Arabidopsis thaliana: one gene and its partners. The protein of the gene in region 2 purifies or fractionates together with the protein of the main gene of each other region. This does not show direct contact. Each region holds a gene or a part of one and is shown on either strand. Other genes may lie near its edges.

Region 1 (7,454 bases), on a different chromosome or scaffold from region 2:
CTGATGCTAATGTACACAGGCTTGCTCTCTTTCAAAGCTGTTGCTATCGCCTTGTCGATCTGTTCATGAGCATCCTCCAAATTGTTCACCACAGCCTGAAAACAAACACATAGTTAAAATCTAAGCAAAGGAGATATATATGTGATGATCAAGACTAGTTGATATTGAAATGTGTTAATACCTGGTAGCAAGTAACAGTTTGGAAACACCTAAGCTCTTGGCTAAAGTCAGGTAAACCGATGGTGTGATGAAGAATCCGGTTAGTGCCAAAATCGTTGGAGTTAGGACCTCCAACGATACATATAACTGGTAGGTTCTCACTGTACGCACCAGCGATAGCGTTCAAAACGCTGAGTCCACCAACGGTGAAAGTCACGACGCAAGCACCGACTCCACGAGATCGAGCGTATCCATCGGCGGCGTAACCGGCGTTAAGCTCGTTACAGCATCCGATGTTGTTGAGCTCTGGCTCGGCGATGAGGTGGTCGAGAAGAGTTAGGTTGAAATCACCGGGAACAGAGAAAACATCGGTGACTCCGGCTTGGACAAGACGGCGGGATAAGTGACGTCCTAGAGTCGATTCGGAGGTTGTGGTGATGGGAGCGGAGTCTTGGATTGTTGCGACGGCGTTGCTTGGTGGACTTCCGATGTCACCAGTTGTTGGCTTACACGTGTCGATGGCTCCAATTTTGGTGTCCATTGGAAAGCTTATTATGAAGAAAATGAAACCTTTTAGTATTTATTTTAGTGGTGATGATGAGTAATAAATTGGAATTATTAGATGGGTTATATAGTTGTACATGTTGATTAGTGCAAATTACATTCGGTTTCTGACTTCCTTGTGCCAAAAGCATAAAGATTTACTGAAATATTTTTGCAATTTTCTTGCTGTCATCTTACATTTAGTTACTTTTTTACAGATAGAAATTTACTTATATAAATTGATACTTATATACACGAAACACGGACGTTTTATTTTGCACTAAAAAATTTATAATTTTTTGTGATACGAAAAGACATTTTACGTTAGAAGATGATGAAAATAAATTTATTTTCAAACTATATTAGAGTATAACATGGATTTTTTATTTTATTTTTGTTATTAACTATATATGTATCTTTGAACTTGTTTGCCAAGATGAACCATTAATGCAGCATTAAGTCTCTGATTTTCGTCTTAACTATGATATAACTTACATTAAGTAGCTGCCAAAGAAACGAAAAAGAACCTAAAGAAATACTAGATTCGTATTGTTCAAGAATTTTATTACCTTATATTGAGAAGTTAGTATAATTATTGGAACTCAATAATTTACATGCACGTAAAGGCATTAATAAGATTAGAATATTCCATCCTGATTCCATCAACAATTTTCATTTCACGTTTAAGAAAAAGCAGAAATATTGAAGTTTATAATGAAAACTTTGTCAACAAGGGGTTCCCTAATATGAAGGATATTAAAAGCAAAATCAATTAAAACCAGCGGTCAAAAAATCGAAACCAGTACTTAATTAGACATAAGAGAAAGAACAAAAGTAGCGATGTGATTAGATTGCCAATAAACGATAGATGCTTGAGCGACACTCAAGATTCGTTTCTTTTCTCTTGCTTCTACTGAGGATTGGGAGGACGACCATTAGCAGCTGAGACGCGAGAGCCCCACTCAAGCAACTCTTTGCTCGTATCATCCTTGTGAACAATCACTTCAATGAAACAAAGACTATCTTTCTTCTCCAATGTCGCCGTGTTAATCGCTTCCACTAACTCCTCCTCGTATCTCACCTACCAAAAACACAACATTCATAATGTTACTCTTCAACCCTGGACTCATATGTTTAATTTCCAACTGTAAACATCAATTACCTTTGTGGTCCAGCATTTGCCTTCACCATTATGAATAGCATCGACAAGACCAGTGTAGTTCCAATTCTTGATCACATTGTAAGGACCATCATGAATCTCAACTTCAATGGTGTAGCCACCGTTGTTGATCAGGAAGATGATGGTCTTCTGTCCGTTACGAATCATTGTGGAAACGTCCTGAGCCGTCACTTGGAAACTTCCGTCTCCAATGAAAGACAACACTCTCTTCTCCGGTGTTGCTTGAGCGTATCCTAGAGTCGCACCAACAGACCAACCAATTGATCCATACTGCATTTGAAACTCGTACCTACAATATAGAGAACAACGACTTTTTAAAACTCTTGTGTGTTTTTTCTTTTCCAGAGAATTACTAAAAAGTTCTGGGGATATCTATATAGGCCCATAAATCATCTCAGGCTAAATACCAAGGCATTTTATATCGTTTCCAACCAAGTACATATATACCACCACTCTTTAACCAGCAATTTCTAGATGTTGACTTTACTAGATGAGCTTATATTGACTGCTTCAACAATGTTAAAAGGTAAAAGATTTAGTTTCCTTTTTCTAGATACGTACCCACATCCTTTAGGCAGCTTAAGTTTCTGACAATTGAACCAAGAATCACCAGTTTCAGCAATCACAGCGGTTTCATTAGAGAGCATCTTCTGAATGTGTTGGAACATTGCGTTGATTCTCAAAGGCTCTCTTGGTTTGCATTTCAAAGGCTTACCTTCAGGGACAAAGATTCTATGGTAGTTCTCATAAGCCGTCTTGTTAGGTTTCACCCTCTTAGCCAACTCCCTGAAGAATTCGCTCATCCGAACGCAACCAAAGGTAGGACCATTAGCCACAACGACACTATCAGGATGCACAATGATGGCTTTTTCTTTCTTGAGGAGAAGTGAGTAACCAACGGAGCTGTAGTCGTTGAAGATTGGACCTGCGAAGATGTAAGCATCCGCGGACTCGACAATCTCAGAGCAGAAAAGAGTGCTCACTGCTCCCCAGTAAGTGCCAATGAAATGAGGATGGTTCTCTGGGACAAAGCCTTTGGCAGATGGCATCACTGCCACGGGGTAGCCTGAAGCATCAGCTAGCTCCACAAAGGCATCCCTAGCTTTAGCCACACGCAACTTGGGACCACCGACCATAACGGGCTTCACGGCCTTGTTTAGAAACTCCAATGTTGCTTCCACGGCAGCTTCTAAACAATCCTTGTTGCTCAACCTAATTTAAGAAACAATCCACACATCTTTGAGCTTGATTCTTGAAGAGAACAGGATTGATCAGTTATATTTACCTTGGAGTTAGGTCAAAAGGGACAGGATAACTAGCAAATGTAGGATGAGGAATGGCAGCTAAGTTACAGCTGATGCTAATGTACACAGGCTTGCTCTCTCTCAGAGCTGTTGCTATCGCCTTGTCGATCTGTTCATGAGCATCCTCTAAATGGTTCACCACAGCCTGAAAACAAACACACTGTCAAAATCTAAGAATGTGATGATCAAGATTCGATAATGTGGTTATACCTGATAGCAAGTAACAGTTTGGAAACACCTAAGCTCTTGGCTAAAATCAGGTAAACCAATGGTGTGATGAAGAATCCGGTTAGTGCCAAAATCGTTGGAGTTAGGACCTCCAACGATACATATAACTGGTAGGTTCTCACTGTACGCACCAGCGATAGCGTTCAAAACGCTGAGTCCACCAACGGTGAAAGTCACGACGCAAGCACCGACTCCACGAGATCGAGCGTATCCATCGGCGGCGTAACCGGCGTTTAGCTCGTTACAGCACCCGATGTTGTTGAGCTCCGGGTTGGCGATGAGCTGGTCAAGCAGAGATAGGTTGAAATCACCGGGAACAGTGAAAATGTCGGTGACTCCGGCTTGGACAAGACGGCGGGATAAGTGACGTCCAAGAGTCGCTGCAGAGGAGCCGAGTATGGTTGCGGCGGTGGGAGCGGAGTCTTGGATTGTTGCGACGCCGTTGCTTGGTAGACTTCGGACGTCCATTGGAAAATGAGCTTAATAATTAGGATATGATGATGAAGCTCTCTTTGTTTTTCTTGTGAGCAGTATAATGCTGTTGGATTATATAGTTGTTTGTGCGTTGTAGTAGATTCAAAACACTACCAGTTTATTTCGTAATAAAATTGTTTAGTAATTATATAGTTTTTTATACGAATAATGCATACGATTATATTATAAAATGTTCAATTAGACATACAGAATTAATCATCTGATTTTCCTCTCTGGACTTACATTTAATTCAACGTGCAAAGAAACGAAAATAATATATTTTAATTGTTTATAAAGATATACTGATCAGTTGTATTATTGTTCAAGACGACTTGTATTAACTTGAAATAAATTATTAGAATTCAATAATTTACATGTGATGCGCGCAAGGGTAGAGTTACATCGTGATCCCATACCATAATACTTCACATGTGTATGTGGCCATATTTAACAACATTGCGAGTCTTTTTGTTCCTTGCTTCTTATATAGTTAAACGATTCATACTAATTCTGTTACTTGGGATTTGGGAACAAATTGTTCTTGTTCTCATAAATTACACTCTTATCTATGTTAGTAAACTTACGACGCTCATTATAAAGTATCACATGAACAACAAAAAGTCTCCATGGTGATGGAACATTGCTATTTCATTAATATTTAAATGGATTATTAATGTGTTAACGTGGGAGCACATGTTAACGCGTGAGAACAAGTTGTTATGTTTTCATAACATTAAAACCAAAAAAAAGGGTTAATAACATGTTGTTAAACAACAATGTATATTTCAACGTGTAAATTTTTTTTTTGCCAGACATTCTAACGTGTTTAGTGATTACCTTGAAAACTATCTCTTCGAATCATTGTTAATATCTCAAACCAACAGAGTCGCCGGTAATATATTCCCAACATTCATTTTGAGTACATAAACAATGTGACCAACTTTTAGGCGATTAGGGTTTTTCCGTTTCTGCCGCCGCGTTGCTGGTCGCCGGCTTCTCGCCGGTTGAGATCTTGTCATGTCTAAGAAGAAAAAGAAGATCCCTCTCCTTCCTGTCAGTTCAAAGTTCGCTCGGGTTTTGGCTTGCGCTCAGTCCGGCTCTGTCCCCCTGTCGTCGTCTGCTCCTTCCGGATCTGCTTCGCCTCCTTCCTCTGGTCTTCCCTGCGCTGGCTCTTTGGCTCTGGTTCTCCCTGTTCCTCTGGTTTTCGACTTGGAAGAGAATTCCTTGTCTCCCGAGGTTATTTCGGAGACTGTTTCTCTCATCCCGAAGTCGTCTACTCTTACTCCTCTGGTAGCTATTGAAGCGAATGGGTCATCCATTCAGCCTCTGCCTACTGTAATTTCCTCCTCGGTTGGCTTGGGATCAGTGTCCGAGATCTCCTCCGCTGGTTCCCCCATTTTGACTCCTTCAGTTGGCTCAGCTCCTCTCTTAGCTCCGAGCTCAGGGCCTGTTGGCTCCTCAGATATGGTTGCTACCAAGTCTCTCTCTTTGGGATCTGCTATTCCTCAGTCTTCGACTCCTATTTCGGGCTCTTCCTCTCAGGCCCCCAGCTCCGATTCAAAAATTGATCTTCCTTGGGTAGCTAAGTTTAAGGCTTCACTGCATAACCTTAAGCAAATGAGTCAGCCAACTTACTTGGAAGATGGTACTCCGGTTGTGATCGCTCCTTCCTCGGTCTTGTTGAAGTCTGCTGCTTTGTGGAAGGGCCATGTCGTAGCTCAATTTCATGGCTCTTGTCCTCCTGCAACCCGGATCTTCTCTGATTTGAATCCAATTTGGGGAAATTACGGTGATATTACCGTTCGCATCGTCTCCGAGACTGTGGCTCTGATTTTTATTCCGGCTCTTAATACTCGCCAATGGGTGGTGGATGTGGGATTCTGGCAAGCTGGTAACTGTTCTTGTACAGTCTACCCTTGGTCTTCAGAAGGTCTCCTTAATATTGATGAGTTGAAGACTGCTCCAACCTGGGCTGTATTGAAGAATGTTCCTCCTCAGCTCTATTCGCTTGAAGGGATTAGTGTTATTGCTAGTGCCATAGGGGTTCCTCTTCACACAGAAAAATCAAGATTAGACCCCATCAATATAGGTTCAACTAAAGTTAAGGTGGTGATCAAGCTGGACTTGCCTCTTCCTTCTTCTGTTGTTGTAAAGGATGTTCAGGGTAATTCTGCTAGGGTTGATGTGGAGTATCCTCGACCTCCGCCGAAGTGTTTAAATTGTGGTAAATACGGACATTTATTGAGTCGTTGCCTCATCCCTCTTCAGAAAAAATTGCCATTTAAGAAGGACTCTCCTTCAGGAGCCAAAGAGGTGGCTCTTCCTCCAATATTCTTCCGGCAGCTGGAAGTAGTGACTCAGTTAGAGGTGTCGACCTTTCTCCTCCTATTGCAGCTGAGATACCTTTGTCGAAATCAAAAAGGAGGCGCTCTAGATCAAAAAAGCGATCCCTTAGCTCTCCTCCACGGATTACTGACCCTCTATTACCTTTCTCTCCCCAGTCTTCTCTTTCATCGCAGACTTTGGCTAGTAAAAGGTGGGTTGCAAAACCAGGAACGATCTCATCTGATCTCAAGGTTGGAGTAATTCAGGGTTCTGGTTCTATTCAACAAGCTGCTCAACCTAAGAGGTCTATGCGTGACTCCATCAAAGATCCAGATCCCAGTTTTCCCTTGCCTATGGGTTGGACAGTCATGTCTACTAAGGCTAAGAAGAAAGAACTCAAAAAGTGGCATAATCGTCTCCGTTCTTCTGAGGCAGGTTCTATTGATTTAGCTGCTAGTAAGGACCTTGAAGGTCCTTCTTCTCATTGAAAGCTGTGCTTTCACCTTCACCTTTTGTTGTGTATATGAAGGTCCTTCTTCTAATAATCTTCTTGTCGGATGTTTTTTGGAGACTCACGTGGCAGAGGAGAATGCAAACTCGGTTTTGGCCTCAACCCTTCCTGGTTGGAGGATGGATAGCAACTACTGTTGCTCTGATCTTGGGAGGATATGGATTGTTTGGGATCCTTCCATCTCAGTTTTGGTTTTTAAGAAAACAGATCAATTTATGTTATGCAGGATAAAGCTGCCCAATTTATCTCAATCCTTTGCGGTTGCTTTTGTGTATGGAAGGAATAATGATATTGAAAGGAGATCTCTTTGGGAGGATATTTCTGTTTTGTCTAGGTCCTCCCCTCTCTCTCATACCGCTTGGTTGCTGTTGGGGGACTTCAATCAGATAGCAGCTTCTTCTGAGCATTACTCTATCACACAGTCAGCCTTCAATATTCGTGGTATGGAAGATTTTCAGGGTTGTTTGAGGGACAATCAGCTCTCTGATCTGCCTACTAGGGGTGTGTTCTTCACTTGGTCAAATCATCAACAGGATAATCCGATCATAAGGAAGCTGGACAGGGCTTTGGCTAATGATGAGTGGTTTTCTTCCTTCCCTTCTGCATTAGCGGTTTTTGATCCTCCGGGTGTCTCCGACCATGCATCTTGTATTGTTATGATTGATAACCAGCCTGAGCCTTCAAAAAAATGCTTCAAGTATTTCTCCTTCCTATCCTCTCATCCTACTTA
Region 2 (9,497 bases):
TGCGTCTGGAGCTGATTCTTCTCCTCAGGTAAAGAACAAAGATTCTTGTGTTGATTTGTGTTACTTTATGAATAAATGAAGTGTTTTACATATATAAAAATTTTGTAGCTAGCTATGTGTAAAGCTGAAGCACTACTGAAACTTCTTCGGCTTGATGATGCTCAAAGAGTACTAGAATGTGTCCCCAAAGTGGAACCATTCCCAGCTTCTTTCTCACATACTCGGTTTTTCGATATGATCGCTGAAGCTTACACATCTTTTGTCAAATCCCAAATGGAGTTGGCTCTAGGAAGGTGAAAAATTATACACATGTTGATTGATTATTGTTTTATTGTGATGTCATATTGGTAAAAGGAGTGAAGATGATGAATTCTTGCAGGTTTGAAAATGCAGTTGTAACTGCAGAGAAAGCTTCAAAGATTGATCCACAAAACAATGAAGTTGAAATTTTGTATAAAAATGTTAGATTAATAACTAGAGCGCGTGATCGTGGTAACGATCTTTATGAACTAGAAAGATACACTGAAGCAAGATCAGCTTATGCAGAAGGCCTTAAGTATGATCCATCCAATGCTACTCTGTTATGTTACAGAGCAGATTGTTTCTTTAAGGTTGGAATGTGGGAGAGCTCAATAGAAGATTGTAACCATGCATTGCTTATACTACCGAGTTACACAAAGCCTCGTCTTCAAAGAGCTGCTTTATATACCAAGGTAAAATATATATGGTATGATGACTTAGTTTTGCATTTCACTTGCGCTAAGTTTCTTTTTGATGAAACTGTAGTTGGAAAGATGGGCTGAAGCAGTGAGTGATTATGAGATCTTAAGAAAGGAACTGCCTTATGACAAGGAAATTGCTGAATCTTTATTTCATGCTCAAGTTGCATTAAAGAAATCTCGCGGCGAAGTAGTTCTAAACATGGAATTTGGAGGTGAAGTTGAGGAAATATCTAGTCTTGAAGAGTTAAAAGCTGCATTAACTCGTCCTGGTAAGTGATATCTTAATCTTCTATGCTCTTATAGTCAGTGAACTTTCATTATTAACTTGTTGTACATATACTTCATTGGCAGGAGTTTCAGTTGTACACTTTTTTAGAGCTTCTGATCCACAATGCAAGGAGATATCCACTTTCGTGGACGCACTATGTGTTCGTTACCCATCTTTGCATTTCCTCAAGGTGAAAAAACAAAAACTTTGAAACAACTGTTTATATGTAAACCAAAGAACAAGTAAACTTACTTGTGAAATTGTCTTTCAACAGGTGGAGATTGTAAAATGTCCAGAAGTGGGTAATGCAGAAAGAGTGAGAGTTGTGCCAACATTTAAGATATACAAACTTGGGATTCGGATGAAAGAGATTGTGTGTCCAAGCAAGGAAGCGCTGGAGAAAACAGTGAGGCACTATGGCCTTTAGCAAACTCAAAACACTTAATATTCACAAAAACAAAAAAAAGGGGAGAACTTGTCAGTAATCTGATTTGATTCATTTATTGCTCTGTTAGATTTAGAAATTGAAAGAGAGAGATTAGTAATGTGTAAATAGAGCAGATTTTGGCTACCTAGGTGGTGAAACCATATAAAATAAGCAGAGAGAAAACCATTCATTCATGTTGTCAAAACATTTTTCCATCAATAAAAAAAGTCTTTGTCTACGTATTCTTTGTCTCTTTGATTAACACTAGGGTGGAATTAAGTCTTAAGCAGTGTTACAGTGAGAACTGTACGCTATAATACATGCAGACCAAATGCGAGCCATGTGTCTTAAACAGCAAAACAAAAAATGGTGTCGTTTCCTCAAAGCACCTCCCTTCTTTAACGGCATAGTTCTATTAACATGTTTCAGGGACCACAGTCAGACTTTAGACGACGTGCAATTTAAACGTATTAACAAATGTAAACGATTCTGAGACAGAGACCAGAAAGAAAAAGACAAAGAAGATAACATTAAGATTCACTGTCTCTGTTCTTGTTTACACTTCCAGAAACAGAGTCAGTGACGTTTGATACAATGGAAGATTAAGATTTCAACGGTGGATACATAAAGTAAACTGTAATCCAACCGTAATTATTTTGGATTCTAGAAAAAAAGAGATTATTAAAAAGGGTAGATAAAAAAGAGAGATTCGAAGTTTTGTTTTCTTTCACTGACTCACTTAACCGGTGTTTTGCAATCCTGCAGCAATACCCTTCATGGTTAAGATAAGTGTGTCCTCAAGTCCAGGCGCGTATTCACTCGTGGGGTTAAGCTTGACGAGCTCTTGTGCTGATTTGCTTGATTGCATGATCTCTTTAGAAATGTGTGGTCGCAGAGTCACATTGTAGTTTGCATCACGGATCCTCTTCAATGTGTAGGCTTGGCAAACGTTGAGGGTCGTAATGTAAGAGTCACGTAGCCTTAGTCTCTGTTTCAAGTAAGGATCTCCTTCAAGAAGGTCTTTATGTCCAGCAGTCTGCAACAACGCAAGTTTAGTGTTATTGCAAGAACAAACCCAACAAATATGAAACAGAGGACCCTGTTTTTTGTTATGTTATACCTGGAGGACGAGGTTCTTGGTTTCATCAAAGTTGGCTCTGAGTTTCTCTCCAAAAGCCCATAAATCTTCTGAGACAAGAAGTTTGTCGTACAAAGCAGCGATCCCGGGGTCTCCCTTGGCGAACACCATTTCAATTAGATCGATGGTGACTCGGAAAAAGGGCCATTGTTTATACATATCTTGCAGCATGTGAAGGTTTCTCACATCCTTCTTGATCGCATACCTAAATGCTGCTCCGAAACCTAACCATACAGGAAGATGGAATCTTGTTTGCGTCCAAGCAAAGATCCATGGGATTGCACGGAGAGATTCGATCCCACCGCTTGGTTTTCGCTTTGAAGGTCTACTTCCAATATTCATACGTCCATACTCCAGCTCCGGAGTAGCCTGCAAACCAAACCAACGGTTTTAGGTACTTAAAACACACAAAAACTTTGGTGAAATTTGGATTGATATGAATGAATACTTACGAGGCGGAAATACTCGACGAATCGAGGTTCTTGGAAAACGACAGATCGGTATTCCTCAGTTGCAACAACCGCCATTTCATCAAGCAAAGCACGCCACTCGGGTTTTGGTGAAATCGGAGGGTTCATTCCGTGCTCTAGAGTAGCTGCTGTGAAACGTTGAAGTGTTCTAAAGCATAAGTGTGCCTCCCCAAATGATTGCTCAATGACTTCACCCTGAACCGTGACTCGAAGAGAGCCATTAACTGTATCTGGTGGCTGAGACAATATAGCAAGATGAGTAGGACCACCTCCTCTTCCGACTGTGCCACCACGGCCATGGAACATAGTTAGCTTCACTCCATATTTCTTAGCAACCTTCACAAGCTCTTCTTGAGCTTTGTATAGCTCCCAAGCAGCTGAGAGACGCCCTGCATCTTTCCCTGAATCTGAGTAACCAATCATAACCTCTTGTTTACCGTTAATACGGTTTTTGTACCAGTCTATAGAAAAGAGTCTTGCAACAGCGGCAGGAGCTGCTTCAAGATCAGCTAGCTTCTCAAAGAGTGGAACAACTCTAAGTGGATTTTTCACATGGCATTCGCGCTGTAAAAGCTCAACCGCAAGCACATCACTAGGTGAAGTTGCCATAGAGATAATATAAGCTCCAAAACAATCTGAAGGCAGCTCAGATATGACTTTGAATGTGTCCAGGACATCAGAAATTTCTTCGGTTTTGGGAAGATCAGGTCCGAAAAGTGGACGTTTGCCGCTTAGTTCAGCAAGAAGCCATTCCTGTCGGCCTTCTTCAGACCAGTCTCTATAGGAGGAACCGATGTCCAAGTGCTTGGTGATAGCATCCAAGACATCTGTGTGGCGTTCAGACTCTTGCCTGATGTCAAGTCTCACAAGGGAGAGTCCAAAGGTAGAGACTTGCCTCAAGAAATCAAGAAGGCTTCCATCAGCTATCGGGCTGTCACCACATGAACATAGTGATCGGTAACAGAGCTCAAGAGGCTCCAAGAACTGCATAAATAGAATAAAAGAACAGTAAACACAATTGAATTCCGTGAATATTATTGAGGGAAACAAGTGTAAGGCTGGATAATGATAGAAACTCTAATGGCAAGAACTAACAAGTTGTTAAAATCAGGAAACAATTTAGTAAGGAACAAATTCAGAGTATAGAGGTTGCTCACCTGTTCCACATTAGTGAAGGTAGCTTCTTCAGGAATATCCGAGATTCCATTACTCAGCAATTGGCGGGAACGCTCACGTGTGTGATACAGCTTATCCCTCACATCACCAAGAATCACACGGTATGGCTCAGTTGGAGGAATTGTCTTCCAGAATTCTGCATTGAGTTAAAGAAAAAAAATAAGTTAAGAATGCAAAACCAATACCATTGTATACTTGCAGTATGTGTTTCTTTTAAGAAGAAAATGTCCAAAGCTTCTAACCTATGTAATGTTTTGCAGCATCTTTCCTTGAGTTCCTGTGCAGTTCATCCGCCCGCACACGGAATTCATCAGTGCAACGCCACATAGATAACTGCCAAGAAGAACACGAATGAATCAAGAGAATCTTAAAGAATGAAAACCGGGAAATGAGTACAAGTAAAAAGAGATAAAAACCTCAAACATCAGATTCTCGATTTGGTTATAGTAGAGATTGGCAGCCATCATTCTAGCCAACAAGCACACATCTCTAGTGACCTCAGGTGTGACCCTCGGATTACCTGAAATTCAGATACGACGATTAGAGGGTGAACAAGAGAAAACAAGAGAGTGATTCGTTTGCCAGTAATCCAAAAAAACGCATGTACCATCACGATCACCGCCCATCCACGAAGAGAATTGAATCAATGGGGCATTGTAAGGAACACGTTCATCAATCCCAATGTTTTTCAGAGCTGTGTCCACACGGCGCAAGAACTTGGGGACACCTTTCCAGATTGTCTCGTGGAAATAACTCATTCCAGCTCTCATTTCATCTTGTGGGGTTGGAGGTGTTCTTCTAATCTCATCTGTTCGGAATGCAGCTTGAATCTAAACAAAAAAGGAGAGTTTCAAAGGCCAATCTATCTATTATCCGAGGATTATATCAAATCAACATGTTACAATCCAGTGAGGTTGAGTTCTTACCTCTCTTTGCAGAGACTCATCTAGCTCCTGCTTGTCATCAGGAGTAATGTCCTTTGCATAGAGTTGAGCAAGACAGTCCCTTATCCTGAGAAAACATTTAATGTCAGGTCAACACACAAGCAAACAGAGTTTTCTCACTCTCTCCAGAAAACAACTAAGTCAAAAACTAACCTCCCATGCTTCTGAAGCAATGATCTACGCACAGACTGAGTAGGATGAGCAGTCAAAACCAGATCCACAGTCTGATTCTTCAAGGCATCAAAGATCTCTTCAGGAGACTTACCAAGATCCGAAACGAGCCTCTTAAAAGTCTCTTCAATATCGGATTCAGTAGTTGCAGAACTCTCATCAACGAAATCACCTTTCTTCAGCTTCTTGATCCTGCGACGGTGAGCAATCTGCACCTCCTCAGCCAAATTGGCTAAGTTAAGCATGTGAGAGAAAGCCTTGGAGATAACAATTGAGTCACCAGGATCCAAACTCGTTAGGACACTCCCTAGCTCCTCAAGCTTGCTAGGCTCACGCTTCCCTTCATACTCAGCAGAAAGCTCGTATAACTCTTGAACCTGTGCACAAGATCATTTTATCAATACATAAATGAATCTAAACAAAAAAGTTCCATCCTTTATACATAACTAACACGTAGGTTAAATAATCGGGTAAACTTAAAATCACTAATCGAAACAAAAAGATGAGATTTTTAGGATCTCTAGCAAATGGGTATCGATTCAATCCAAAGAAGAAGGATGTGTACCGTTTCACGGAGATCCTCGCCGTGTAAATCCTGGAGAATGTCGAGAAAGCGATCAAGGAGAAGAGCATCGTACTCAACAAGCTTATCGTCTTCACTGACTTTAGCAGGAACGAGTTGCCGAAGCTGAGCATCAATAGATGCCATCTTCTCTATGTTCCGACCCGCCATTATCGCCGATCAATCAAATCTTCTTCGCCACCCTCTTACTTCTTCTGTAATCATCAGATCAAAAAGGAAATGAGTTTTTTTACACAAAAAGGGAAAAAGAAAAGCAAAATCTGTTGACAACTGAATCGCCGGAAAAACAGGGGATTTGGTAGACTGACCGAAAATCACGAAAAAACAAAACAAAACTCAAACTGAAAAAAAAAATGAATTGACAAACCTGAAAAGAAGAAATCTCTGCGGATTGTGGGAGAAGGAACCAAATTCGATGTTTAGGGAATAAGGGTTTAAGATGTGGAATCAGATTCAGAGATGGATGTGATTGAGGAAAGCAGAGTGAAGTATTTATAGACGAGGGAGTGTGTTGGCATGAGCGATGCGCGCTTTTTAAGTCAGATTTTTTTATTATTTCATATTTTTTCGTTAGAATTATTTATTTCTGAGTTGAAAATAAATATATATATACATATATATATGTTTTATTTTGTAAGTTATCTACATGAGGTAAGAAAAATAATTGTTGGTCAATTTTATTTTTTCAAGTAAGAAAATTAAATAATTAAACACTGTCAAGAGCAGAAGAATATTCTAAAAGAACGAATATTTTCATTAACTTCATTCCATTTCATTGGGTAAACTAAAATTTGTTACTTACTTTGTACTAATTTACAAAGTAACGAATATGAAATGATTAAAGATAGTACTTTAACTGAGTGTATTTGGGAACAAATTTGAGTTTTGGTGGTCAAAGATCTAATGATCCTGATTTCTTAATTATTACACAAAATTAAGGAATTACCTGATATGGTTTTTATATGAATCTTAACTTTAGAAAAAAAAATGACAGCAAGAAAATTACCTCATTAAGAAAAAAAAACAGGATCGTGTGAGCTCGTGCATGCATTTTGTCTATGCACGAAGATGCATAAATCTCTGACTCTAACTTTCACATATGATCAAGTTGACTTTCAAAAAGTTAAAAAAAAAAAAATCTGGATCCTTTATAAAGGTGATTTGCTAGATCTATAAAAATGATTTTCAGCATATGTTCTTCTATCTACTGCTACCCAATAGAGCATCTATATTATAATTTATGTTATCTCAACTCTAAGAGAATATGTTGAAGAACAAAATATTGTAATCAAGACTTAAGAATATGTACTCTCTTTTCTTTTTCCTTTGCTATAGGTTCAATCTTTTTTCCTCTTCCTTGCTTTTACAACAAGTTTTAAAGGGTATATGCACTAAATAGCCAAATTTTAGAAATTTCTCAACAAAAGTGATGTGGTGGCCAAGTAACATGTTATTTAGCTAATGACACTATTTGATAACATGTAACTTTTTGTTTTGTTATTTTACATTTATATAATTGAAATTTATATCAGTGATCTTCGTCAATGTGGCATACGAAATGAACAATGTATACATTAAGGTCTTTATTCTTACGACTATTTATGGAATATTCGAATCACTGAGTACGTCATTATAATATGAACTCAAGTCAACCAAGTTTGTGATCTCTTGTTAAAAAAAGAAGCAGAGTTTCTGATCTGTATCGCTTCGTGGGTTCTTGTCCGTCTGTTCGAATATTCGATTCAATCTTTTGATTCATTTTCTTCGCAGTATCACATTTTAAAAGTAATCTAATACGTTGCAAATTTAATTATAGGACTAAAAATGTCGTTTCAAAATATCGAAATATTAGATTTTGGCCTGTAAAGTGTTCTGGAATCACTAAACTCTATACGCTTATGAATTTAAAACTAGTATTCGAGAGACGGCTCTTGGGTAGACTGATTCGTTTAAACAGTTTTATCATTGACCCTTTTGTATTTCTTTATGGTTTTAACAAATCATGCCGTCTTCTTAATTTGAATTTTAGCAATAATGCTGAATTGATTATAGATCGCTTTATGAACCAAAGACATTAACAAGGTTCAATTATTGGATAATATATTGTGGATGATACCTACACTAATATAAACTTGTGCATCAGTGGTTAGGTGTGGGGTCAGTGTCGGTGATAATCCGGTTGACGTATTAGATGATAGTTAACATTATTTATCAGAAACATTCGGGGAGGGTGACGACAATAGTATATAGTGTTCAATTTATATTTCTCCGTTTTCATTCTTAATAAAATAAAGCTTACAAGTGGTGGGATGATTCATGAAAGCAAATACGATGAGGCAATGGTGTGACTATATTTTATAAGTTAAAATTTATATGTTGTGATTACATTTGACTTTTAAATCATATAAATTATCTTATCTATTTGTTTTTCCAATTTGCTCTTTTCTTCTTTAACCAAAAAACCAAAAAAAAAAAAAAAAAATTGCTCTTTTCTTTTCATTTGATTCTACTATAGGCCAATTAAAGTTGCTGGTTACCGCAATAACGCGGTACGTTTTTCCGTTTGTAGTTAATTCGGTTTATAATCCAGAAATCCGAACCGGAAAATTGAATTAAACCAAACAAGAGGGACTCCTAACAAGTCTGATTCAGGTTGAGATCAGAGACTTCTCTTTTGCGTTATCTTTTGCAGTCTATGATACAATATTACAATCTACCTGGTTTCACATCGAATGTTGAGATCACGAGAGAAGACACACCAGATACAGAGATCTAGAAAGAACCATATGAAAAAAGTGGGATAACAAACATAGCAAAGGTTTGAGATTAACCAGATAAATGAATGTTTGGTTAAACTTTAACCAGAGTCATATCTCCAAAAGAAGCAGCAACATTTGAAGCCTAGGAGCAACTCAATACATTGTTAAACGTTAAGCAGAGCTTGGTCCAGAAGATTGGAAATCCTCAAGCAAGCCAAACAAAAACTGGACAGCTTCGCATATATCTCATAGCAAGTTACCAACTCTAGCATCGATTAAGGGTCAGACATGGAACTTTTTCTCTCATTCCTGCACCAAGTTTAAGAGATTCAGACATATGTTCACAAAACTTAAACAGCAAATTCTTCGGCGTAGGCACTTGTCTAGTCACCATTTCTCAGACAACCAATTCAGGTTCAGCTTTTTCTGCAGGAACATGATTTTGGAAAAGTGTTTGGTAATCCAAGTTTCTAGCGGTTTCAAAGAAATGAGCCACGGCTTCCTCTGGTGTCCCTACCAAGACACCGTGTCCTAGATTGAGAATATGCCCTTTTGGTCCAGCACACTTCACAACTCTGACACAAAACATACATTTCTTTCAGTTTCTTAATTTGAATTATAAGCACTACTTTTTTATTCAGCTGAACAAAGTGACCTACCTTTCAATTTCTTCGGTCAAAGCAGGAAGCGGAGAGAATAGGTAAGCTGGATCAACATTTCCCTGCACACTTACCTCGCTTCCCAATCGCCTCCTTCCATCAGCCATATCTACAGTCCAGTCAAGTCCAATAACATCAGCTCCAGTTCCTTTCATTCGCTCAAGAAGGCCACCATTTCCA
Region 3 (7,082 bases), on a different chromosome or scaffold from region 2:
CCAATCCGATTCGAAAACGAAACAACGAACAAAGAGAAAGCTTCAAAACCCTAAATCGAATTAAAACTAGAGAGCAATCAATCAAACAGAGAACAACAAACAACGAAACGATCAAATCTACAAAAGAAAGAACAAATCGTACCTGAAGGTTTTGTTCGATGGAGTCTTTGGAGTTTTTGTTAATTCAATTGATGAAGAAGAAAGCTTAAGGAAGGTTTTGTATTTATAGACCTTTTTTTTTTACCATAGATCTTCTTTTTATGGCGGCTAAATCTTAGCCGTAGATCTATTATTTTCTAGACACGTGGATGGATAAGTTCGAATTAGTGACCAAGTGGGGAAGGTTTCACGTTTAGAATAACTGGTGTGAGACGCAGAGAATAATTATCTATTTTCTTTGCGTATAATGGACGCGCAACTCTCATATCCGTGTAGGCCCATTAAGAGCATTTATTAAAAGAAAGATAATAAGAGCCACAAGTGGGTCCAATAACAACACTTGCGAGAAGAATCTCGAAGTCAATATGATTTCGTATTTTATTCGATATCTGTGGTTGTCTGACAAAAGAAGAGACGTCTTATTGCAGATTGTTCTGATACATTATGTTGAAAACGTTTTACACATTGTCACTCACCGAATTTACTTGCTTTTTGATGAAGCAAAGAACCCAAATCTAGATCAAGCGAGGAGATGTTTTTAAATCAAAATCACTCACTCGTTGCTCAAACTTCGAATGATATACGAAAGCATACCGCCATGATTATAGTATGTTAGTTCCACTTGATCAATTCCAATCAACCAAGTCAGACCATTAAATATATGGTGACAATCAAATCTAAACAAAAGCTTTTGTGATTACCTCTGTGTCTAACCGCAAAGTGCAGACAAAAGATTTAGCAGTGTCAGTAGTCACAGTTATGTCCTGGCCTGGTTTTATCTCATTGATATTACTAGGAAGGTGGATTGTGTAGAGTTCATGGCCAGTTAGTCCAAGGGTTTCTGCATCTTCACCGGACTTGAAGGCCATTAACCCCAATTCCTGTCGAATTCAAGCTGCATCACAAATTTGGACAGGTTTCTCTATGCAGAAATTTAGGGGAGTTACTATGGAATAAGCTATTTAATCCTACTTAAGTCATAAATTATGGCCAACAGCGAAAGATTCGTCACATTACAACAGCATAGCGATGAAGTCGTTTTGTAAACCAGTGGATCACTCCCAAGACGCCTCACTGCATTCCTCATAGAAACAAGATCAAATTTAGCCATGAACCAAAAAAACAGAAAGCAAGAAAAGGTAAAACAAAAGTTAGTATAAATTGGGAAAAGAAAGGACTCTACCAACTGCCTTTAAAGTAATCATTTGGCATCTTGGGATGGGATCTCAACTTTCTTAAGTCAATCAACATACCAATCCAAGACACAAAGACTATAGCTCTGATAAATCTGCGTAAAACTGAGGACGAAAGATGAAGCAGAGGAAACAAGTTCTTATTTAGGCACTCAAACAGTTTATATCCTCAAGGGGACACACATTTTTTTCCCATCCAGATGGGTGTAAAAGGATCCACACTACTTTACATAGAACGGTGAAGACACTACCAAATCTGAAATATATATAAGTTGAGTGCATTTATATACTCTACTGCGGATTTGGGGGACGACTATTAGCAGCAGAGACTCTAGAGCCCCACTCCAAAAGTTCCTTGCTTGTATCGTCTTTGTGCACTATCACTTCAATGAAACAAAAGCTCTCTTTTTCCTCATTGGTTGCCGTGTTGATTGCTTTCACTAACTCCTCCTCGCATCTCACCTTGGCAGTCCAGCATTTTCCTTCTCCATTGTGTATGGCCTCAACAAAAGCTGTGTAGTTCCAGTTCTTTATGACATTGTAAGGACCATCGTGAATTTCCACCTCAATGGTGTAGCCTCCGTTGTTGATGAGGAAGATTATGGTCTTTTGCCCACACCGTATCATCGTAGATACATCCTGTGCGGTTACCTGGAAACTACCATCTCCAATACAAGCAATGACACGCCTGTTTGGCATGGCTTGAGCATAGCCTAGAGTAGCACCCACTGACCAGCCAATTGATCCGTACTGCATTTGGAATTCGTAACCGCATCCTTCAGGGAGCTTCAGCTTCTGACAGTTGAACCAGGAATCTCCTGTCTCAGCAAGCACAGCAGACTCAGAAGAGAGCATATTCTGAATGTGTTGGAACAGTACATTAACCCTCAAAGACTCATTCGGGTTATCTCTCAAAGGCTTTCCTTCTGGGACATAGATCCTGTGATAATTCTCATAAGAAGTGTTGTTGTGCTTAATTCGTTTAGCCAACTCGCTTAGAAAATCCTTCATAAGAACACATCCAAACGCAGGTCCGTTACCGATAGTAACCCGATCAGGCTGAACGATGATTGCCTTCTCCTTCTTGAGAAGCAGAGAATACCCAACAGAACTGTAATCGTTGAAAATCGGACCTGCAAACAGATAAGCATCCGCAGATTCAACGATTTCAGCACAAAAAGCTGTACTCACAGCTCCCCAATACGTCCCTATAAAATGCTTGTGATGCTCAGGTACTTGTCCTTTAGCAGAAGGCATCACAGCAAGACCATAGCCAGAAGCATCAGCAAGCTCAACAAAAGCATCCGCGGCTTTCGCAACCCGCATTTTCGGCCCACCAACAAGAACTGGCTTCACAGCTTTGTTCAAGAACTCAGCAGCTGCCTCCACCGCCGCATCTAAACCAATCTGATTGCTAACCTTCATCGGAAGCATGAACGGAACAGGATGACGACTAAACGTCGGAAGAGGAATCGCCGGTAAATTACAGCTGATACTGATATAAACAGGTTTGCTTTCTTTCAAAGCAGTTGAAATCGCAGTATCGATAAGTTCATGAGCCTCTTCTAAGTTATTAATCACAGCTTGAAAACAAGTAACAGCTTGAAAACACCTAAGCTCTTGAGTGAAATCAGGTAAACCAATTGTATGATGAAGAATCCTATTGGTACCGTAATCGTTGGAGTTTGGACCACCGACGATGCAAATCAGAGGCAGATTCTCACTGTAAGCACCGGCGATCGCATTCAGAACACTCAATCCACCGACGGTGAACGTAACGACGCACGCACCAACACCGCGAGATCTAGCGTAACCGTCAGCAGCGTATCCGGCGTTAAGCTCGTTGCAGCAACCGATCAGCTTGAGGTTTGGTTCGGCGATTAGGTGATCGAGAAGCGTCAGGTTGAAATCACCAGGAACGGAGAAGACATCGGTGACGCCGATTTCGACTAACCGTCTTGCTAGGTAACGGCCAAGAGTCGCGTCGCAGGGGCTGACGGTGGTGGAGTGAAGTGGACTTGTGTTTTGAACGGTGGAGACTCCGCCGTTTGGAGGACCGCCGATATCGTGGTTGGTCGGGTTACACGCGTCGATAGATCCGATCTTAGTGTCCATAGTGGTAACGTTCGTTTCAGAATTTTCGAACAATAGAGCTATGAGAAAATTGGAGAGAGCTCGAGGTAAAAGTACAGTTTGAAATATGAGATTAGTGGAAGATACTTAATTATAGACGTAAAACAACGGTGGCTAAAGTAATCAAACGGTGGTATGAAATAGGCGGCTAATAAGATATTTTTAGCCGCAGATATTTATGTGTCTCTGAGATTGACACGTGTCCTTATATAGTTGGATATTGGAGAACAAGTTAGAAAGTTCACGTTGAGAATAGTTGTGAGTCCGCAGAGAATAATTGCTCTCATGCGCAGCCCACAAGGGCATCATAGGACCCGATTGGATATAGGATCCGACCCGGTTCGTGTCAATACCACGTGACTCAAAAAGAAACTCCCGCTCTTGGCGACTTTTCGAAACCCTAAAGAGACTCGTATTTCCCCCCTAACGCCGATTTTCCCGCCGCTCTCACTCAATTACAAAAATCCGTAGATCCCCAATCTCCAATCACATATCTCCCACAATCTCTTTCTCGCTCTCTCGATCATCAGATTCTTCAATCTCTTTCACCAAGCTTAACCAAATCGTTACCATGAAGGATATCTCTAAATCTCCGGCGAGAAGAAGCGACGGATTCCACCGCTACTTAAAACCAGGAGCGCTTGCTCAGATCCGAAACTCGAGAATCAACGCTAGATCTACTACATCTCTCGTATCTCGCTCCTCCCTCTCGCAGCTAGTAGATCCGATTTCACCATCTGAGAACTCGGTTGATGAAGCAGCAGCGGCTTCGCGGAATCTGACGATAGATCAGGTACCACATCTTCTAAGAAAGATCTATGGTCCTTACAGTTATCAGAGGAAGAAATTAGCCGCTGCTAGATCTGTCTCGTCGATGATGATGATGAATATCAATCCTCCTATAAACTCAGTTCTTGTTGAACCCAGTAGTGATGTTATTGCTCATTGAGTTAAACTAGTTTCTACCAAATCTGTAATCTGATGATACAATTCGGGTAAAATGTTTAATACTATCATAAGACTCACTATATGAATCATTAAATTATCAATAAATTGTGTGTTTTCAATTGATGAGTTTATCTTTGTTAATTTAATGTTTGTGTTGATTTGATATCTTACGATTTGGATTTGACTATAGATTCCTTCACTACATATTAATGAACACTTACATGAGTATCATTTTGGGATTCTTAATGATGTATATGTAACTCTTAAGTGTTGTAACTGTTTTGAAAGATTAGCCAAACACTTAAAGATTCGAAGAGTAATGATATAAGACTACATATATTTTTCTCAAATTTGTTATCATCTTGTTAGATTGTAATTGACATAGGCTATGTTACCTCAGTCAATTCTCTGCTTTGCTTAATCTAAACATCTCAAATCTATAGGTTTTGATTATCTCTCTGTTTGTTGTGATGGGTAAAAATGTTTGCCTTCTGCTATTATCAGACGCTATTGTCTCAGACCAAATGGTTACCTATGTTTGTCGATGGGTGTTAACAGATTTCATTTGCTTGGTGGTATTACCGCATATGGAACATTGGTCTTGGTTTATTTAGTCTCATCATTCGATGTTAATAAGTTTTATCTATATGCTTTCTTTCATTTGTTCTAATGGGTAATGATGGTTATCTATATGTTGCCTTTAGCAAACGTCGCTGCCCATATGGTTGAACTTGAATCCTGATCCAACTGAACCTCTTTACCCTCTGATTATGCAATCGGTTATTAATTGATGTTGATATCCCCAAGTACATATGTATGTTATATGTAAGAGACCATTCATAACTTTCACTTTCTACCCTTCAAAGTTTTATTTAACTCTCTTCATTGTCAAATCCTTCATCTTTACTACTTTTTCAATATCTCCCCATTATGTATAAATTTAATGCATCAAGTACTACAACTATTCCACATGTGCATTGATAAATCAACCTCAAAATAGAGGTAAAAGAGAGAGAGAACCACTTTTTTGAAAGGAGTGGAATTGTTCTCGTATCACGAGATTACATAAACGTGAGTCGTCCAAACTACTAGATTCGAATAAACCAACCAAATCACAAATTGTTTCTTTTAAAATAATGAAACATGATGTGAAAACACAACTCGTAGCCTATTTGATATTGTTTTCGTTCATGTTTTGTCGACGTAGACCCATATATCTTAGTAGGTTTTGAAATAAACCAAACTGAGCCCCAACTAAAGCTACTAAACCACGGTCGATAGAACCAAACCGACGTAAATTCAAAGCTATAAACTCAAACCGAATTATAAAATATGAAGTTATGTTTGATTTTGATATTTTTCTCACTGAATCAAACCTAAACTTAAACCAAAATGGCGAAATCTGAAAACCCAATGTAAATGCAGACTCCCTATGGTCGATTAATTTTGTTGTTGCAGAATTCTTTAGAAGTATGATGTGACATCACCTTGACTAATGCTAATGTCATCACTTAATGTAAAGAACGTACTAATATTTAGCAACGATTTTAAAAATAATAAGCATCTCAATACTTAAGATTATCTCAAGTAAAACTAATAATCCAAAGCCATGATGATTCATATGAAGCCCACTGCCCACCAAGGCAAGCCAAATGTCGATCTCTCTCGCTACCAGCAACCACCGCACTTGCCTCGTCCATGTCACTTCCACAACCATAAATTTTTTTGGTGCCACTCGAAATAAAATAAAAATATAAAATTTATCAAAATCATTAACGATTTAAAGCAAAATTCTAACTTTAATAAGATAAAGCTACAATCCGGAGATGGTGAAAAAACTTTAATCCATATTCACATTGTAAGTTTTTCTATGGAAAATCACTTCTTCTTTTTTTCCACGCGGTTTCAAAGGTTAATCATAAAAAGAGTAGAAGTTAAAGGAACTTTTTTGTATCTATTATAGTTTGTTTTTATATGTATTGTGACCACAAACACATATATCTACATATTTATTTTATATATAAAGAGATAGATAATCTAACTGAGAAATCCACTTGAAGCTATTCAACAATTTTTATAGCTTTCTTCCTCTCCAAAACCACACCAAAAAAAAAAAAAAAAAATTTGATTTTCAGATCCAATCAACCAGAGATGAGAGATAACAACAATAACAACACAAGAGAAGAAGAGAGAAGCAGTTCTTCAAAGCAGCAACAACCACAAGCTCCTATGTCTTTGAAGATCATAGATTCATGTCTCAGACTAAGTGTGGTTCCTCTCAGTGTTGCAACCATCTGGTTAACTGTCACTAACCACGAATCCAACCCGGACTACGGCAATTTAGAGTACAACTCCATCATGGGTCTCAAGTAAACATATACTCTTTACTTTCTTTCAACTTTTTAGTAAGTATTTTATAATTATTAATTAATTAGTTATAATTTGTAGGTATATGGTTGGTGTGAGTGCCATATCTGCTATTTATGCTCTGCTCTCTACTGTTTCTTCATGGGTCACATGTTTAGTCTCCAAAGCTTGGCTCTTCTTTATTCCTGACCAGGTTTTTTAAAATTATCTTCTCAATCATTTATCAAATATCTAGTATGCAATTTCTTATGTTAGTTAATAATGTTTTTATATTTTTTTGGG

Evidence for each region.
Region 1: the proteins of PPC3 (region 2) and PDC3 fractionate together in Arabidopsis thaliana (co-fractionation; one large-scale study listed by BioGRID). This does not show direct contact.
Region 3: the proteins of PPC3 (region 2) and PDC2 fractionate together in Arabidopsis thaliana (co-fractionation; one large-scale study listed by BioGRID). This does not show direct contact.

Annotation. Positions count from the first base shown.
Region 1 is NC_003076.8:130,926-138,379, forward strand, and holds PDC3 (pyruvate decarboxylase-3), read right to left. Parts: upstream 3,996-7,454; 5' UTR 3,883-3,995; coding exon 3,397-3,882; intron 3,332-3,396; coding exon 3,168-3,331; intron 3,095-3,167; coding exon 2,444-3,094; intron 2,172-2,443; coding exon 1,865-2,171; intron 1,784-1,864; coding exon 1,613-1,783; 3' UTR 1,339-1,612; downstream 1-1,338. Other genes in the region: AT5G01320 (Thiamine pyrophosphate dependent pyruvate decarboxylase family protein), read right to left, coding at 1-95, 182-700.
Region 2 is NC_003074.8:5,022,136-5,031,632, reverse strand, and holds PPC3 (phosphoenolpyruvate carboxylase 3), read right to left. Parts: upstream 6,450-9,497; 5' UTR 6,267-6,449; intron 6,251-6,266; exon of another isoform or gene 6,094-6,250; 5' UTR 6,050-6,093; coding exon 5,882-6,049; intron 5,694-5,881; coding exon 5,299-5,693; intron 5,213-5,298; coding exon 5,128-5,212; intron 5,032-5,127; coding exon 4,809-5,031; intron 4,722-4,808; coding exon 4,618-4,721; intron 4,535-4,617; coding exon 4,444-4,534; intron 4,338-4,443; coding exon 4,183-4,337; intron 4,010-4,182; coding exon 3,008-4,009; intron 2,925-3,007; coding exon 2,538-2,924; intron 2,454-2,537; coding exon 2,157-2,453; 3' UTR 1,747-2,156; downstream 1-1,746. Other genes in the region: TTL2 (tetratricopetide-repeat thioredoxin-like 2), read left to right, coding at 1-28, 109-293, 380-713, 787-991, 1,074-1,180, 1,265-1,417; HEME1 (Uroporphyrinogen decarboxylase), read right to left, coding at 9,056-9,233, 9,318-9,497. UniProt on the Arabidopsis thaliana protein: Through the carboxylation of phosphoenolpyruvate (PEP) it forms oxaloacetate, a four-carbon dicarboxylic acid source for the tricarboxylic acid cycle.
Region 3 is NC_003076.8:22,309,215-22,316,296, forward strand, and holds PDC2 (pyruvate decarboxylase-2), read right to left. Parts: upstream 3,619-7,082; 5' UTR 3,468-3,618; coding exon 1,644-3,467; 3' UTR 1,339-1,643; downstream 1-1,338. Other genes in the region: AT5G54950 (Aconitase family protein), read right to left, coding at 618-674, 861-1,028; AT5G54970 (uncharacterized protein), read left to right, coding at 4,057-4,434; AT5G54980 (Uncharacterized protein family (UPF0497)), read left to right, coding at 6,585-6,802, 6,882-6,993.